2 linked regions of the Caenorhabditis elegans genome follow. The protein of the gene in region 2 interacts with the protein of the main gene of each other region in a pairwise test. Each region holds a gene or a part of one and is shown on either strand. Other genes may lie near its edges.

The links. The genes of interacting proteins can lie anywhere in the genome.
Region 1: the proteins of ctl-3 (region 2) and klp-6 interact in a two-hybrid assay, tested with the Caenorhabditis elegans proteins (one large-scale study listed by BioGRID).

What each region holds. Positions count from the first base shown.
Region 1 is NC_003281.10:5,028,911-5,032,666, reverse strand, and holds the start of klp-6 (Kinesin-like protein), read right to left. Parts: upstream 1,739-3,756; 5' UTR 1,719-1,738; coding exon 1,479-1,718; intron 1,428-1,478; coding exon 1,295-1,427; intron 1,258-1,294; exon of another isoform or gene 850-1,257; intron 630-849; coding exon 221-629; intron 1-220. Other genes in the region: pcf-11 (Polyadenylation and cleavage factor homolog 11), read right to left, coding at 3,324-3,422, 3,472-3,756.
Region 2 is NC_003280.10:14,309,069-14,312,824, forward strand, and holds the start of ctl-3 (Catalase), read right to left. Parts: upstream 1,712-3,756; 5' UTR 1,676-1,711; coding exon 1,645-1,675; intron 1,421-1,644; coding exon 1,353-1,420; intron 1,293-1,352; coding exon 648-1,292; intron 594-647; coding exon 321-593; intron 1-320.

The sequences.
Region 1 (3,756 bases), on a different chromosome or scaffold from region 2:
TAATTGTGTTTCAACAGTTTTTTTGTATTTTAATATTGTAGGTATTAGAACCTGTAGCAATGCTCGCAATTACTCAAAAAGACCACAAAATATAGCAATTTGCAAAAACTGTACTTAACATGTTATTTTCAAAAAATTTGTAGCTTTTTCAAGTGTTTTGGTATGAAAAGTAGGTAGGCTTGAGGCAGGCATCAAAGCCTGCCGGAAAGAAAAAACGAACCTTCCAGCTAAATCCACCAAATTAATCTCACTTTTCTTCATCGATGTACCTCCAGCTTGCTTACTAGATTTCTGATTAAATGTTATTTTCACAATTGTGTGAGCTCTACTACTTGTTGCATTCATTTGTGTTGCCGCAATAGTCCTACTTTTCGTTCCTTCTTCAATTTTTGCTTCAATTTCTTTGAAACTGTTCACCGGGACTGTTGTTAGATTTTCCACGTAGAACCCATTTTTTGGGTGCTCTCTCACTTTCAGACCACCTTTTGGCGGTGGAGTTGAACTTAGAAGATCTCGAACTTTTTCACAGTAGATTTCCATCATTGAAACGAAAACTTCGAATTGCATATTTTTCTTTTTATTATCCGCAATTTGCTTGAATAGTTCCTCACAAACTATTGGCACGATTCCTGCAAAAAATTTTAAAATTTAAATCCCAATGTTATCGGTGCCCAGTAGAATTCTAGAAGATAATGAGTCGTGTTCTCTTGCGCCCGACGTTTTATAGGTCCTACGAGACATTATAGAAATGAAATATGCACATTTATACTGTTTTAGTAAGTCTAAGGCAGGCAGCCTATGTTTTAAAATCCCTGCAACACCACTCACGCGCGCAAATTGGCAAATATTAGGCGTGATGGCCTCTGCAGGGTCTAGGACGGCCACTCTGTGTTCTCTTCTCTTGTTCACTCTCTCCATTTGCCTCTCGCTTATATTTCCCAGTTGGTTGCGAAAAACCACCGAGCGTCGTGGCGGGCGCTTGTGAGTCAGCTTCTTGACGGTAGATAAGTGTGGATGGAGTGAGAGGAGGAGTCCTGTGTATGTCGTCGTCTACGTCGACCGAGCGTCCGTGCCAAGCGCTACGTCACCAGGGGATAACTGTCGGAAGGCGGTTAGTCCCGGGTGCATAAGGAGTCGTGGATGGTTCAGGACCGAAAGGTAGCAGACAAAAGCGACCGCGTGGTGCAGTGGCCGGACCGCGCTTGTAAGTTGACACACATACACAGCCTTCTCGATACCTTCAGACCACTTATCATTTTTGGAATTTTTAGTTAAAATAGAATTTACAGTTTACCTTTATTGTTTTTGAAGCCTACAATTGAATAACTTTTTCCACTTCCAGTTTGTCCATAAGCAAATAATGAACAGTTGTATCCAGCCCATGCATTTGCAAGAACACCTCTGCCAAGATCTTCGAAAACTCGTCTCTGAAATTATATTATTTTCAAATCGGAAGAAGGAGTCTTAATAATATATACCTGATCCGCATAATGAGGATCCGTAGGTTCCAAATATCCATTTTTCTTTTCAGAGAAACCATCATGTGACCAATATGAATGATCATATGTAAATCGTTTTTCATCGTTTGTTTTAGGATCTCGAATAACTGTTGTTTCCTCATCTGGCATTTCAATTACCAATTTGCAATTTCTTGTCTTTTCTCGATCATTGAAAGGTCGAACCCGAACTGCTACGATTATGGAGTCACCCTTTCCCATTATTCTGAAAAGTTCAACTAATAAATTTAGAACTAAATTTGGTTGGAAAATTTTTTTAAAGAAACATTGGAATATCTTCGTACTACTACCGTACTACAACAAGGATCTCAACTATATTTTAAAAAAAATTTTTAAAATTAAAAAATGTATATGAAGGTATTGCGTCGCAATAATTGGTTGGTATTACGGGAACAATAAATCATGAGAATGTGTACTTGGTGCATTTTATTTGACGCGCGATATCTCTTAGCGAAAACTACAGTAAGAACTCAAATAACAATAGATATTTAAGCTCTTACTGTAGTTTTCGATAAGAGATATCGCGCGTCAAATAAAATGCACCAAGTACGCATTCTCATGATTTATTGTTCCCGTGATATGAGAAAAGGATTTAGTTTTTTTTTTTAATTTACAGATTAAAAGTATAATAATTGAATACTTCTATCAGAGAGAACAAAATTTGTAAACAAATCCGAACGGAAAAATGTTTTTAAAATGAAAAGGACAAGAAAATAAATGGAAAATTCAGTATAGAGTGTAGTAAAGCGTGGAGAATGGGACCCTTCTTCTACATACACGTGGAGTCAATGTTGCCATGTAGGTCTCCAAGCGACGAAAGGAAACGGACCAAACGGTGTTTGATGTGAAGAAGAAAAATTTGTATGAAGTTGTATTTAATGAAGATTGAAGATTGGAATCAGAGAACAAAAAGTTGAATAAATGCACAGAATTTCTGAAAACAATTGATTTTTTGATAAAGCCTCGGATAGTTTATTTCAACTTTGACAGCATTTATCCGATTTTTTACTTATGAATATAATTATCCAAAAAACCCGAATATCGTAGCAAACTCCAAAACGTGTTAGATATTTAAAAGTATCTAGTCATTTTGGCAACTTACCAAACTTTCCAAAATTTGAGATTTTTGAACAATTTAGAGCCAATAAAATGTTGAAATACGAATATTCCAAAACTTCTCGAAACAGGTTTCTAACAATTGATTCAATTGATACTGCCTACAGTAGTCTTTGCGGCATTTCATAACTTTGGAGTGTCAGTGATTTACGGAATTGACCAGAACCTACATCTCTGAAATTCTCGTTATGTGAACAAAAACAATTATATTTCCCATTTTAATAGATTTATTCGACCAAAAAAACAAAACGAAAAAATAATTTTAAAAAAGCAAATAAAAATTATTGAAGTCGTCGACTCTGAAAAACGGGGGTTTTATGATTTTTATTTTCAATGTGATAAATTGGAGGGTGGAAAAGGAAAAATATATATAAAAGGTATTTTTAAAAATAATTTGCTTTATTTATAGAAAATGTATAGGTGAGGTTTTGAAACGGAATCACAACCAAGATTTGTTGAAATTGTCTGGGACGTTGGGGGGGGGGGGGGGGGGGGGGGGGTGTAAGCTAAATGAAAACTAAAAAACCCATAACGAAACAAGAAAACAGGAAAACTTTGGTATGCTTGAAAATTTTAAAGCATATGGAAAAATGCTTTAATGAATTTTTTGGTGAATTTTATAATTTCTGTTAATATTTTCAATGACTAGACAATGCCCATCAAAAAGGCTCAATAAAAAAACAATTATGTTCAGTCGAACGGCTCCTCTTTTTTGATGTCACTGTCGTTGAAGAATGATGAGTTGTCGAGTGATCGAGCTGCGTCGGAAGCACACGCAGAATGCACAATCTGTAATGAATCTTGATAAATTCACGAGTTTTGAATAACAAATTTTCACCTTTCCGTGAACATTAACTGTGTCCCTTAATCGCCACGTTTCCTCGTCATCATCATAATACTCGTCAAACTTCTCACCACAAACTGAACATTCTTTGGTTTTAACACCGGAAGATGCTACTCCTGGAAGTGGTTCCTCGGGTTTATCAGCTTCTTGCTCATTCGTTTCATCAGATGCACGTGGTGTAAGCCAAGTGGATGTCGATGGATACCACTGACGATATGGTACAGCTGCCGAATTGTTCGACCCGTGGCGTGCCAAATTTTGCTTCACATGCCAATCCAT
Region 2 (3,756 bases):
TTTTTTGGACGGATTTTTTCCAAACTTTTTGTTTTCTTACATTGTGTACTAAACTAAGCAAAATCCGCACACAAACCTCAATTGAAACCTGAAAAGAAGCGAGATCTGAAAAATGCCTGAAAAAATTGGCTCCGAGTTAGGGCACTTCGGACGGCCAAAAAATTTTGTGACTATTGTCAAATGAAAGATCATAGTTGATAACGTAAATTCCTACAGTTTCATAAAAATCGATACACAGCGAACAAAGTTATGATTTTTGACCCGGAACTTATTTGGAGACCTAATATTAAAAAAAACTAATTCATCTTCACACCACTTGCCTCAGCGAAATAATTCTTCACATTCCTGTTCAGCACCATCTTGCCGACCTCGATCAGTGGGTAATCACCGTGTGGCCAAACTTTAGTGACATCAAATGGATTGAACTCCCATTTCTCAGCTTGTTCGAATGTCATCACTTGAATGAACATCTTCCATTCCGGGAAATTTCTTGACTCAATGGCATTGAACAGGTCGCGGATCGCATAGTCTGGATCCGAAGAGGCGAGCTTTCCAGCGTCAGTTGGATCGAGATTCTTGGAACCTTGAGCAGGCTGAAAAATAGAAAATGAAAATTTAATTCTAGTCCCCGTCTCTCTTAGGCTTACCTTGAAATGGAATTTACAATAAATCGGATTTCCCTCCTTGTTGACCATCTTGAAAGTATGCGCTCCGTATCCATTCATAAAACGGAATCCATCAGGAATTCCACGATCCGAGTAGAGGAACATCACCTGATGAATGGATTCAGGGCGATTCATCCAGAAATCGAAGAGCGCATTCGGATCCCTCATGTGAGTCTGTGGATTGCGCTTCAGGGCATGAATGAAATTCGGAAAGTGGATTGCGTCACGAATGAAGAAGATCGGAGTGTTATTTCCAACCAGATCCCAGTTACCCTCCTCGGTATAGAATTTGAGAGAGAATCCACGTGGATCGCGGACAGTATCAGCGGATCCCGATTCTCCAGCGACCGTTGAAAAACGAACGAGAAGTGGTGTCTGTTTTCCGACCTTGTTGAACATATCGGCCTTACAGTACTTGGTGATGTCATGGGTGACCTCGAAGTATCCATGAGCACCACCACCTTTGGCATGGACGACACGCTCCGGGATGCGTTCACGATCGAAATGAGCCATCTCGTCCATATAAACGATGTCCTGCATTAGCATTGGACCACGTCGTCCGGCGGTGAGCACGGCGGTCTTCGAGTAGATCGGAGCTCCATTGGATGTGGTGAGCAGGTGGGGTTCCTGGAAAAATCAGTTTTTATATAAATTGCGAAGAAAATCGCTGAAATTGATTTTTCTCACCTGATTTCTATCTCTATAAGCTTTCAGCTGATCCTCAGCCATTGGTCCGGGTTTTGTGTCGTTGACCGCTAAAAATATATAGTCACGTGGTGCCAGACTGTCCCATTACGGTTTGATCTACAAAAAATGCGGGAATTTTTGCCCAAAACAATTTGACGTCCGCACGTTCTTAACCATGCGAAAGCAGTTGAGAACTCTGCGGCTCAATTCCCGCATTTTTTGTAGATCTACGTAGATCAAACCGAAATGAGACAATCTGACATCACGTGTATTTTGTAACAAAGAAACTCACTTAGATTGACCATGTGGGGAAGCATTGGCATTTTGAAGATTTACTGTTGAATTTCCGAGAATCGGCACTGAAAAGGAAAACAAATAAATAATATAATCGTTTGCGAAAACCGGAGAGATTGCTCGGAGTCAAGAATCAACAAAATCGAGAGATTAATGGCGAAAATTCGTGGAAATTATCGTTTAAAATTGGTAAATAATTTTTTTTTACGCAAGAAACAATAGAAATCCACGCTGAAAACGTTTTTGTTTTCCGGGAAAAAAAATTAATCGATTTTAATTACAAAAAAACAACATTGTTTTCACTTATGTGCAAACACCGATGTACTTTTTTGCGTACCGTAGTTTCGAGTTTGTTTTTCAAAAGTAATTTTTCATCCGAACGGCATTTTTGCGTAGAAAATTACACTTTTGAAAGAGTTTTTTATGGTTAAAATGTGAAATTTGATTTAAAAAAATATTACGGGGACACAAAACATATTTGACGCGCAAAATATCTCATAGCGAAAACTACAGTAATCCTTTAAATGATTACTGTACCGCTTGTGTCGATTTACGGGCTCGATTTTTGAAAATAGCACGAAGGAAAATGAAATATCGATGTAACTTTTCGAAAAAAAATTAATTCGAAAACTTGAGCCCGTAAATCGACACCAGCGCTACAGAATTACTGTAGCTTTCGCTACGAGATATTTTGCGCGTCAAATAGGTTGTGCAAAACGCATTCTCAAAATTTTGTGCTCCCGTAATACTCGAAATTACCCAAAATTTATAGATTTTCAATTTTACAGAGCGAGAAAAGCACGAAACAATGGCGATTATTTAACAAAAATATTAAAATTCACTAATTTTTTAAGATGGAAATTTCGACTTTTTTCAATTTTTTTTCGATAAACGTAAAAAAAACTAGCTACGAACCAAAAAAAACCTTCTCAGCGAGCAGTTCTTAGCTTATAAACAAACTCTTAGAGACCATAGATCACCATAAAAACAACATGCAAACAGCTGAGAGAGAGAGAGTGGAAAAAAAAAGAAAAGTGAACAACAAAAACACATTTGCGGGGATGGTGTCTGGCCGCCTCTTTTATACATTTTCAATGTCAACGGGGGACGCCAGGAATTGTCAGCAAAAAAAAATATATTTATACTCTAGTACTTAATGTCATCATTATTGTTCTAGTTTTCTCACAAAGGACAGCCAATTTATATAAATTTTCCATCAGGCAAATGGTGGCAAGAACAGCTGTGTTTTGGTGGAAGAAAAATGGGTTTTGCAGGTTGAAAGGGTGAAAAATAAAAAATCTGAAAAAAAACGTTTGTGTTTTGCAAAAAATAATAATAATTTTTAAAAAAATTGATTTATGTGCACATACACCAATAGGCTTAGTCTTAGGCTTAGGCTTAGGCGTAGGCCTAGACTCAGCCTTAGGTTTAGTCTTAGATTGGGGGGGGGGGGGGAACAAAAATTCCAGAAACTTCAAGAATTCAGAAAAAAGGACGATGAAAATGCACTAAAAGTTGCACAATTCCAAAAAAAGCACAAAAAATCTCATTTTCAGAAAATTCACTAAAATTAATGCAATTTGTTATTTTTCTTGTATTTTGGCATTTGCATTTTCAAAAATAAATCCCCATTGACCGTACTCCAGATTCAAAGGAGCACACTTCTGCTGAGTGGTCTCGGCACGCGTACCGAAACTTTTGTGTGTGCGCCTTTAAAATTACTGTATATATTTTTTCTTCATTTTCTTTGCTGATTTCGTAATGTTTTTTTCGAGTTTTTGATTGTTTTTTCTCATTTTTTTTTGTTTTTCTTTATTATTAGTTAAAATATAAAAACTATTTTAAGCTAATCAACGCAAATCGAGGCGAAAACCGATCGCAGAAAGAGGAAAAGTCGAAAAGTGAGTTTTTTTGCAAAAATATTTCAGCCGCCGCCGTCAGCTGGATTCCATAGAAGTGTGACGAAGGAATTAAGGTTTGCTTATCGAAAAAATGTTGATTTTTCCTAAATTAATTTTTTACAGAGCTCGTCGATCCGGACAATTCCGCAGAAATCAGGAAATCAACAGACGGAATGGCTCCGGAGTCCAATGGAGCGCACAAGCATTCG